Coturnix japonica: one gene and its partners. The protein of the gene in region 2 purifies or fractionates together with the protein of the main gene of each other region. This does not show direct contact. Links are inferred from orthologs where the notes say so. Each region holds a gene or a part of one and is shown on either strand. Other genes may lie near its edges.

Region 1 (3,651 bases), on a different chromosome or scaffold from region 2:
ATGTGCAAAAGATTAAATTTACAGCTTGATCTTACATGATGCTGACTGCAGTGAAATGGTGCACAGCCCCAGCTTCCACTGACTTATGTGAATATTGAAGAGACTTAAAACACTTAGCATCAGAAGATGCACAAGCATTAGTTGCAGACCTTTGACATTAATGACTCTAAAAATGGTTATGAGAAATTGTTTCATATGTTAAATCGAATGTTAATATTTTAGAAACTTCGTACTGCTGGGAACAAAGGAAATGAACATTTCATGAGCCTGCATCTTACCCTCTCATCCATTGGCACCTTGGCTACTTCATCCTGGCTGTCCTCCGGCACTGGAACCCTAGCAACTGAAAGTCCGTTCAGTGCTGCCAACATCAAGGGCCTCTTCTGGGCCTCCAGGCCTGCCATCTTCTGCTTTTCTAGATTCTTTTGGCAAGAAAAGGCACGTTTTCATCTCTGTGTGATTATTTATAATGCCAGTAAAATGCTGGAATGTTTTTTTAATCTCCAAAATCTGCAACTTTCTGGCCAAGGAATGCAGATGATCACCATTAGCATCATAAATTCAAATACAACCTCTATTCTTCCTGTTATTCCTCAAAGGCCTGCTCCTACACGAGCACAGAATTTTAATTTCAAAGGAGCAATCCCAGCTTCTAATACAGTTTACGTGCCATCAGAAGACACACAAATACAATCTTGAGCATTTTTCTGCAAATACTGCTCTGAACTTAGGACACAAAACACATCACCCTGTACATTTCAAGTAGCTTTACTGTAGCCAAGACACCTGGGGCGTCTTTTTAAAAGCAATAATTTTAATCTATTCCAACATACAAATGTATTTTAGAGGAGAAAAAAAAAAGCATCCTGTATTAATACTCAAAGTGAAGTCTTTTGATGCACCCAGGTATGGTGATTCAAATAGTACCTGTGATGTATTTCACACTAAAAATTGAGGTGTGTTTAGGGAGGTACTGTTTCTCACATTCATGCTTTGTATTATGCTACAATGCGGCAAACCCGAGTACAAATTCTCAGCTCATCCTGCTGCCTTCCGAATGTCTCTGGGAGTCACAGAGAAAGGAGACAATCTCCAGAATGAACCAAGTCACGAATGTTTTATTCTATTCCTGTCACAGTTCTTTCTCCCAGATTTGGATGAAGAGATGAGCATTATGGAAGCCTGGTTCTCAGCATGCTGAGAACCAAAGCTGTGGTCACCACACAGACCAAGTTCAGCTCTTGGAAATAGTAAACTGAACCTGAAGACCCTCAGACACAGTGTGTTTTTTCAGAAGCCTGTGAGCTTTTTCACCACCAGCACTTTCCTCCAGAACACTGAGTAAAAACAAACAGAAAGGCAGAGCAAAATTCCAAAAACTCTTTGCTTTCTTTTCTTATTTCAGGAGGGAGGAAAACACAAGCCTTTTCCTTTTGCTTTTTTTCATTTTTACTTTTTATGACTCTTTACAAGCTAAAGCCTGCTCTTGCAAGATTAAGGTTTTCAAACCAGCACTAGTGTAGTATGGGGTTCCTACAATAAGGGAACATTTGCATGCATTAAGGCACCTGAACTAGGAACCACCTCAAAAGCTCAATGCTAACACAACTAATTTACTTCCGAAAAAAAAATATATTTACAACTAAAACACATTTTGACCAAAGGCAGATTTGTGTCATTATTCAAAGGAGCACTTCAGCACCTCTAACCTCTCAGCTCACCCTTCACTCACATCCAAAATTCCTTTTGATTTCTGCATCTCAGCAAGTTTTTTTCTTTACTTCCCCAGAAGTTCAAAAGAGCCTGTAACGCTTCTTGTTCACCAACATCTGCAGTATTCACTCACAGAATACTATGTTTTATATTTGGAAATCTGTTTTTGAAGGTTAAGATGCTATATGGAGTAAACTCAGTTTCCATGATACGACGTAGAGGTCCAAGTTTAATTGCTAACTATTACATAAGTGTAAGAATCACTAATGAACAAGAAGCATTATAAATAATTTTTCTAAATTTCTTTGAATATACAGTAGTATGTAAATTTAAGTCTATTCCAAATTATTTCCTTCTGTGGCTCATTCGTTAATTTCTTTCAGGAACTGCTTAAAAGCCAAATTCCAAAACAAAAAACAAAAAGCTTTGTTTTCTGTGACTGCAGTTGTATTTCTCAGTGCATAACTTCAAGCCACAAGTCGCACAAGCAACTTCAAAATACAAGTCGCTGAAGTGCAAGCACACCTCACTTCTCCCACTGCCTGCAGTGGCACTGAAGTCTTTAAATACACAGTTTTTATTGTAAATTCATCCATTGTTTAAATAACTATTTATCACATAGTGAGTACAATAAAAAAAATAGAAGTCCAGATCCATATAATTGTAGCTGACCCACCAGGTCTGCTTTAAGCAAAACACTGTTTTCCCACCTACGTGTTCCCCATAGTTTACTGACCCAACAGCTATTGGACATGTAAACAGACCTGTATGCTTACGAATTCTCAAGAAGTCCCTGCAACAAAGGAAGACACTTACCCTCATCATGATTTCTCTCTCTATAATGCTGTCCTCAATCGAAAACATTTCGGACACAGGTCTTTCCTTGACTGGTTCTTTCTTCACCCTCTCCTTTACGCTTGTGAGGTCAGGCTCTGAGATAGAGGGCCCAAGCGAGGACCCATTTATTGCCACTTGATCTGTCCGAGACACACTGATGGCCTTGGAGGGCCCTGGCCTCATGGCCTTGGCCCTGGCTACGGCCACAGAAGTGCTAATATGGTCCTGTCTCAGGGCTCCGTTGCTGACGCTTTTTCGAGGCCCAGGATATTCTGGAGGAGGTTTATTTGGTATTCTAGCCAAGGCAGCTTGCAACTGAGCACTGTACTTCATGTTCTCATGGAGGGCTCTTATCTGTGTCACAGATTTTGTGGTATCTTCTTCCTCTTCACTTTCACTACTGTGTATCAGCATTGTGGCATCAGAGAATGTCTTTTTGTGATGATAATGAGGAACCTGTTGAACTTCATGCCCCATCTGAACCGACTCTTCTGGCTGCACCTGCTCCCGCAAGGTGTTCCTGCGTGGTAGAGGAGCGTTTAAGGTTTTTAATGCCATGGCTTCTATACCACGTACCATATTGCTGATGACCTCCAAGCTATGGCGCTTGTTCACAGCCGCATGGTGCTTCACTGCAAGGAGGGGTTCGCTGACCTCCTGCAGTGACTGACGGACGACGGGTGAGCTGTCCTCCTGGAACGTCTTTACTGAGAGCTGGACTTTGCGTGTGACCAAGTCGGGACTGCTCCCGCTGACATACTTGTGCCGGTGGCTTGCAAGGTCAGGTGTGCTGGTGGCAGGACGTGGGCGTGGGTATGGGGGTGGGGGTCTGAAGAGATAGTTCTTTAACATATGAGCAGTATTGTAATTCTGGCTGCTCTGCAGCTGCATATTAGCCAGTTCTGGTGTACTGACCGTGTGCGATATGGCACTGGCTGCTGTCTTATTTTGCACAGCATTTTTAGGGTTCATTTGGTCAGAGGGGGTAACAGGCTTGTTATAGCTACCACCCTGAGGTCCATATGTGACTGTATAAGGATGCCTCTCTCGAATCTCAGGTTGACTGTAAACTAGGTCTTCTGGCTGGTTATAAGCATGTGT
Region 2 (3,651 bases):
CAAAAGCAAATACTCCATGGTGATCACACGTCATCCGCACACAGCGCTGGAATGTTTATCCTGGGCCGGGTGAAAAAGGCCATTTTCTCTCTAGAAGGAAATGATCAGCTGTTAGTGCCATTCAGGTATGGCCAGAAACATACATCATCTGCATTAACAGGTATCATCTGCATTAACAGGTATCATCTGCATTGACATGTATCCCACCACGTGTCACCACCATGCACAGCAGCACACTCTCTTGAGCTACACCTTTTACACACACACCAGAGATCCCTGCAGTTAAACCTACAATACTGAACTAATCAAAGAAGCCATTTCAGAAAGGCTCGTTGTTGGCATGGTGAGCAGTGTTACTTAAGGGAGCAAAAGACTGCTTTCTGCATTAAAATAATGCTTGGTGCCAGGCGGGGAATGCTTTGGGCTACTTCTAGCTGCTTTGAAATCACCTGCAATGCTGCAGTTAATTTCTGACTTTCAGACTGGATTTGAGCATTGAATTTGTTTTTTAGTAGAACAGTTAACTACTTGTTCAAAATCAGCTTTATCAACACCATTATCATCCACAAAGTCAGTTCTTACCCCCTTCACCCAACTATCCTAATTACCTGAATGACTGCACTTCCAAAGGCTCCTTCCGACTCTGCCCTCGGAGCCGGTGAACATCCTTGGCAGCAGCTCTCATCATTTTATCAGCTTTGAGCTCACACTTGTGTTCTGTTTTTTCCACCTAAAAACCAAAAGGAAGCTGTTTGTGTTTCCGGGAGGAATCGCTCTGAATAAATCTGTAAACACAGCAGTTTTACCTGCAGGTCCGAAGGGTTTGAGACCTGCTAACTCAGGAATCAGTAGCTACAGAAGGTAAATTGAAGGCTCGTCAACCACTGTAACCAGGAGAGCTTTTTCTAAGGTCTTCAAGGCCCTTGCTAAGAATTATGGCTGTCATCCATGTCTTCTTTGTATCATGATTTTTCAGCCAACACATCAGCTTATGCAAGAACATGGTAATCTATTTTCCAAGCTCTATCCCAGAGGACTTCTTTTTTTTCCCCCCCATCTACATACTATGCCATCATAACTTGAAATATTTCTGTCTGCTGCCAAAGGTGCTTGTGATAAACCAGGAAAGCTGAGAAGCGGCCCTCTCACTAGGGAAAGGAACTTGTAGACAGAGTAAGGTTAAGTGCTAACCATTGCAAACTGTGGTTCAGGAGGCTGAACTTTACAGAACAGATGGGATTTGTGACTTTCCATACATGCACCTGAACTAAGATAGGAAATCTCTGTGCTGCACAGGTTCAGGTGTAACAGGATGCCACAGGAAGCTAAAGAGGCAAGACAAATTCCAGCAAGGTTAGAGGAGGACTCAGCTCAGAGGATTTCAAACATCCATGCTGGACATATACTAACTAGAAATGACTGTCATTTTAAGCTCAGGATCATCATCATTACTGAGCCATCATTTCTCTTAGGAGAAGCAGATTTAGATGCTGTCCTCCTAACCTTTGTCTTTGCAGGCACAGACTCTGCAGTCTGTGAACTGAACATTTGAGAACAGCAACTTCCATCATCAATAGCTTGCTTGATGGAATCGTAAGTACAAGACACGAGTGACCATAGTGCTAAAGTTTAATTTCCAGGTTGTCTAAAATCCCAATTCTCAAATCACACTTCTCAAATGTTAAATAAAATCCAAAGGCAGGTATCACTTACTCGTTTTTCCACTAGCCTCAGCAGCAGTCGAAATCTCTCATCATCCTTCACCCACTGTGGTAACTCTTTCTCACCCTGACTCTGAGCTTGTTCTAACTGTTCCTTTAGTTCTCTCAGCACAGAGATCTCCTGAACAAGCCGATCATGCCAGGTTTTTGAAGCCTGCAGGTCCAGCTCCAGGTCTAGTGAAGTGCGAATCAGGCGCTCTGTACCAACAGACTTAATTGAAGGCTGAAAAAAAATTATGGACAATAGTGAGAACTGCCCAGACTGCACCCCTTCTGAAAGGCCCAATAATTTTACATGACCCATTCTTGTTCCTCCAACGCTTCTTAGTGCAATAAACAAATAAATACTTCTCTGAGTAACTGAAGCAGCTTTCTTTTCACCTTCATCCCCAGCTGATTGCAGCACAAGCACTAAATGCTCTTACAATAAATGCAGCAGAAAAATTGTTGCCACTCCTACTCCAATACGATGGAAGATATCAGGAACAATCTTTCTAAACTTATTTCTTTAAGCAAGCTTTAGAGTTAAACATCCCTGTCATACTCCAGCATTACTAGGAAAGTTATCTTTAAGAGAAGTATCTCACATGCAAAGAAAAGTTTCTGAATCAAAACACTTGGCAAATGATTTGTGTTTACAAAACATTCCTCCTTTTAAACTGTTTTCACTTCTTTTTTGTGCACGTCTGTACCAGACAAAAAGCGAGTAGAGATGCTTTTACCCGTTTCACTCTGACGCTTCGTCTCTCCATTGCATTTCGAACAAAGGGGGTTTTTTTGGATAGCGTTGAACTGTCACTATCGCTGCGATTCAGCTGAAAAATGGAAGAGAACATGTTTCCATCAAACATACAAGTACATACTTACATAAGCAGCAACATCACAGTGTAAGCTGTGAGGTAAGCAGACCTTTCAGGTTTTGTAAAGACTGCAGCGTCAGGACTCAGTAAAAAATTGAGACTACGCAAACGATGACATCATTCCCTCGTTAATGAAAAGCAGTATTTTATAGATCCAGGATTGCATTTTCCTTACCCGACACACATACTGACTTTGTGGTCCTGGTGAAAATGTTTTGGAGCGGATGATGGTGCTACCCCTGACAAACTGAGTTTGTGGTGGATTTGCTGCTCTTTTGTCTTTTGGACGCACCACAGCAGAAGACTGTGCAAGGCTCTCTGTGTTTGTCTCTTTATCCACCTGAAAGACAGATAGTGCAGTGTAAAATGCCAGCTTGCCATCTGACCAATGATACATCCAGGGCTGTCTGGCAGCCACCTGTGATAGATCTGTGCTTTCAGCCCAGAGGCATCGCACTTAAACCAGATACTCTTTAGCTCCTTTCATACACGGTGCTCTGACACTACGCTGTGAACTCAGCAGCTGCTACATTAACCGTATTGCTCCCTAAGGGCTCCGTGTCCATTGATTGCTGTGGACACAATTGAGTCCAGTGAGCTTTGCTTGTTGGATCCAGTACATCAACGTGAACCAGCAATTTCACTTACAAAAAGGGAGTTACAATTTTGAAGACCACTCCCTTACCTTTTGTGCATCTGCAACAAGCACAGATATAAAAAGCTGTATGTACATGCACAGAGAGCAGATCAAGAGCACATTAATTATGCTTGTGAGAATGTAGGAACACTCAGAATTATACAAGGTCAAAGCCACAGCCACATATTAATGAAAACAGTTTCCAAGAATAACAAAAGAAGGTGTGAAAAATGCTTATTAACCATGGGAAAAAGTTGTCATGCAGTTATTTAATATTTCAGGTAGGTAAGCATTTAAAAATCAATTATGAGCTTTCAAAAAAACTGCTGCAGCTCTGCTCAGCTCAACAGCAACCCAGTCCACTACGCAGCAGCATTTTCTCCTTCAAACTGAAACCTTAAATAAAATAGGAGCTCCCTTATCAGGAGATGAA
Region 3 (3,651 bases), on a different chromosome or scaffold from region 2:
ACTCACTCGTTACTGTAACTTTTATTATAAAATAGCTGTTTGGGGAAAATCCTCTAGGGCAGCAGCATTCATGCTGTGAGGTTAGGTGCCTGCTGACTTTAGAAAGAGAAGAAAGGGATACCATGTCTGGGTTTAATAGTGTTTGGAGACTTCTCTCTCCGCAGTCTCTGGTTGCCTCAAGGAACAGGAGTCTGAAAAGGGAAAATTTTGAAGAAACACGTGATAAGACCTTTCCGGAGGGAAGGCACAATGTAAGAACAGCTCGTTTCATTCCAATCAAAGCCCCACGAACCTGGTATCCTGTTTGCACCATAACTGCCAGCAGATTCCTAGGGAATGCAAAAATAGGACCAACAAATAATACTTTCCCAGAATACTTTCCACTTCCAAGAAGGACTTCCTGAGCTCAAAGTAGTGTCCTTTAAAATCCCTCAATGGACTTTTCTTCCATGAGGCTGTAGAGCAGCTCTTTGAACCCGCGTAAGAGAATCTGTGTTTTGTGCTGTGGTGCTTTGCCGGGCTTTGTTTCTGGCTGCTGGGAAATGTTGCCTTCTTTCTACTATCGTATTTCAGAGTTGATGACATCCACAGTTAAAAAAGCAATGCCCCGGATTTGCTGCAGAAGGTCAGTTAATGGCAATTATTAGAGTAATTTCTATAGCAGAAAACCCTGTCCCTAAATGTGCAGTATTCTGTCCGCTGGGACAGGGTTAGGCCTGGGGTTGGTTCTGATATTTTATTCATATTTTAGTTAATTTCTGTTCTGTGTGACCTGTGAAGTGACCTTTCTAAGATGGTTCCTGGGGGTCTCAGCATGGAAGTTTTCATTGTTGTGGTGAGGTAGGATAGCAGTTGTTTGCAAGATGGGCGATGAATAGCAGTGGCAGGAGTGGAGCAGGCCCCCTCAGCTCACAGCAGGCCAAGATGACAAGTGAATGCCAGGACTGCCAGCATAAGCCAGGCTGCCTCTAGTGCATGCTTTCATCTTGTTCATTATTTTAGTGCTGTGGGGCTGGAATAGGATACCAACAGTAGCTTTCAGTGTTGCACTGAAAAAGCTGTTCCCAACTTGTAGGTGTCTGGGTATCAGCATTCCAGATCATGACATCCCATGACAGACTTGGCATACCTTGATTTCCTCATCACTAGCATGGAGATGCTTGAGGACAAGAAGAAGAAATAAACCTAGCAGGAAGGTGGACATGGGAAGGACTTGTAACATAGGGCTTGTTTGAAATCCAGGGCACCCTGACAGCAGTAATGTGGACATGTTCCTCCTGGCTGGCGGTGCTGTTTTCTTTAAGGCACATGGAGCCAAAAGTTCCCCTCATTTAACTTATGCTGTTTTTTTTTCCCTTTTGTTTCAGCTCAAGAAGAAGCAGGTCTATGTTGAGAAAGTAGAGAAGATGCAGCAGGCCTTGGTTCAGCTGCAGGCAGCGTGTGAGAAACGGGAACAGCTGGAGCATAGGCTGCGGACTCGGCTAGAGCGAGAGCTGGAATCTCTCCGGATGCAGCAGGTATCCTGTCTTTCTCTGGGCCCTGGTTAGGCTTCTTGTAGGGTTTGACACTACAGCATGTGCAAAAGAAAGGCAATGGTTTTTTCCATCTTGTAAAATCAGCACATTTTTTTCTCTTGAAAACTATTATGCTGACCTATGTTTTTACTTGACTTAGTTATTCCATTCTAACCAGAAGATTTAGATAAAAGAGCAGCAGTCTGTGCATCCTGTGATAAGAGAGTCATATAGGTAACCTGGTTATATTCATTCTTATATTATTTTTAAAGTATTATTTACAGTTTGAAATTTTAAGTGAAAGTCAATAACAGCTGGACTGAAATGAAAGGCCCTTCAGAAGGCTTTTATATGAAAAAAAAAGTACACAAAATGCCAAAACCACAAAACCAGTTCAGTAAATGCAGTTGTTGGAAAAAGGAGCTTCATGTAGGATATCTTCTTGGAATTGTAGTGTGGGTCTTTTTCAGTGGAGAAAAAAATGAATAAGAAGTAGCTTGTGCAGATTTCCAGAATAATTTACAAACCTGATGGTTCATCTATATTCTAATTCATGTTTAGTTTCAGGTTAAATTTGGTCCTCAACTGTCACATCTGTGAGAGAACAGATATTTACATAACAATCATATTTTTGTAGTGCTCCTAAAAGTAGGAGTTAACATAATTTGGTAAATTTTCTTTCATGTTACCTTTGGGAGATGAGGTAATCTGAACACCCGACTTTTGACTTTGAGCTTTAGTCAAAGCAAAAAATGACCTTTATCGTCATGGTTTAAGAATTCTGAGCTGAATGTATAACAGGTTACGTGCCCCATTTGTTTTCAAGTCAAGTATCACACAAATCCCAGATAAGATTTTCATATAAAACTATCCGTTTTATCTTTGAACTTTCAGCACAGCAAATCTCCATTTTTTTTCTATTGATTTATGAGAAAAGGTTGTCTGTCTTCCAGATCTTGTGTTAGAACTAAATTATTTTTAACCACCAGCTATTTAGTCCACAGGTATACAAAGATCATATTGATTCAGTATCATGCTATAAAATATTTTGGATTTTTTTAAAACTCTGCTGAATTATGTACACTAGTTCGTGTTTTGCTGGAATGGTGTTGGAAGGAAGTCTGAGTTATTTAAGCAGTATGGACAGGTTAGAGACATCAGACCTGAGTAGCATATCCAGCTCTCTGACATGCTCTTGTGGCTTTGCATTTGAGAAAAGGCCTTAAGGAGTATTCTCCATCTCAGATACCCACTTGTTAGTATTGACCAGCTCTGGAGTAGCACAGGAAGCGCTCTACCACAAGTGCTGTGACTTAAACTGTCTTTCTAGGGAACAGTTGGTGCAGTTTTTGGTATTTTATGGCTTTTAAGCTTCAACATTTGGATGTAGAAGGAGCCTGGCTTGCACTATATGAGCTTGTTTCCAGGTTTGGACATAGGGAGGCTGTGCTGCCCCGCAGGTGTATTAGGTCCAACTCTAAAGGAGACCATTAGATCACGCAGTCTGCCTCACATTCACTCTGGGGGGTTCTTGCCCCTGCCCCACAGAGAAAAGCACACCAACCAATCCTGAATCTAACAGGTGCATCCTGAAACTTCTCTTTGCTTTGCTTTTCAAATCAGCGTCAGGGCACATCTCAGGCTGCCAACGTCTCTGAATACAATGCCACAGCGCTTATGGAACTCCTGCGCGAGAAGGAAGAAAGGATTCTTGCTCTGGAAGCTGACATGACCAAGTGGGAACAGAAATACCTGGAGGAGAGTGTGATGAGACAATTCGCTTTAGATGCAGCTGCAACTGTGGCTGCTCAGAGGTAAATTAAACTATTCATAGTACAGGGATTATTATTTTTTCCTGTTGAATGTCATATTTTCCACAAAACAGTGTTGTCATATCACCCTCCCAAAATACCTCTGCTTGTGGTCTGCACATCTTCTCAAACCTCTGCATATAAGTGGAGCTTGGCTGTTTTGCCTGGGAGCTGTGTGACTTAACTATAAGAAATTTTTTGCAAGGGAATGTTCCCCAACATGCAAGAGCCATATTCCAGGCTGGAGTTCTCCTAAGCCATTCCTAGAAGCTATTGCTTCAAAAATAGATGTGTGAGGAGCGTTGTTGGGGTTGTTTTTTTTCTTT

The links.
Region 1: the proteins of WWC1 (region 2) and PTPN14 purify together in Homo sapiens (affinity purification with mass spectrometry; 7 studies listed by BioGRID and IntAct, counting the BioPlex papers as one, with this or other methods). This does not show direct contact. The link is inferred for Coturnix japonica from reciprocal best matches to the Homo sapiens genes WWC1 and PTPN14.
Region 3: the proteins of WWC1 (region 2) and AMOT purify together in Homo sapiens (affinity purification with mass spectrometry; 3 studies listed by BioGRID and IntAct, with this or other methods). This does not show direct contact. The link is inferred for Coturnix japonica from reciprocal best matches to the Homo sapiens genes WWC1 and AMOT.

What each region holds. Positions count from the first base shown.
Region 1 is NC_029518.1:18,594,360-18,598,010, reverse strand, and holds part of PTPN14 (tyrosine-protein phosphatase non-receptor type 14), read right to left. Parts: coding exon 2,530-3,651; intron 423-2,529; coding exon 279-422; intron 1-278. UniProt on the Homo sapiens protein: Protein tyrosine phosphatase which may play a role in the regulation of lymphangiogenesis, cell-cell adhesion, cell-matrix adhesion, cell migration, cell growth and also regulates TGF-beta gene expression, thereby modulating epithelial-mesenchymal transition.
Region 2 is NC_029528.1:7,291,527-7,295,177, forward strand, and holds part of WWC1 (protein KIBRA), read right to left. Parts: intron 2,922-3,651; coding exon 2,757-2,921; intron 2,537-2,756; coding exon 2,444-2,536; intron 1,945-2,443; coding exon 1,714-1,944; intron 731-1,713; coding exon 609-730; intron 91-608; coding exon 24-90; 3' UTR 1-23. UniProt on the Homo sapiens protein: Regulator of the Hippo signaling pathway, also known as the Salvador-Warts-Hippo (SWH) pathway.
Region 3 is NC_029519.1:12,291,307-12,294,957, forward strand, and holds part of AMOT (angiomotin), read left to right. Parts: intron 1-1,367; coding exon 1,368-1,517; intron 1,518-3,137; coding exon 3,138-3,328; intron 3,329-3,651.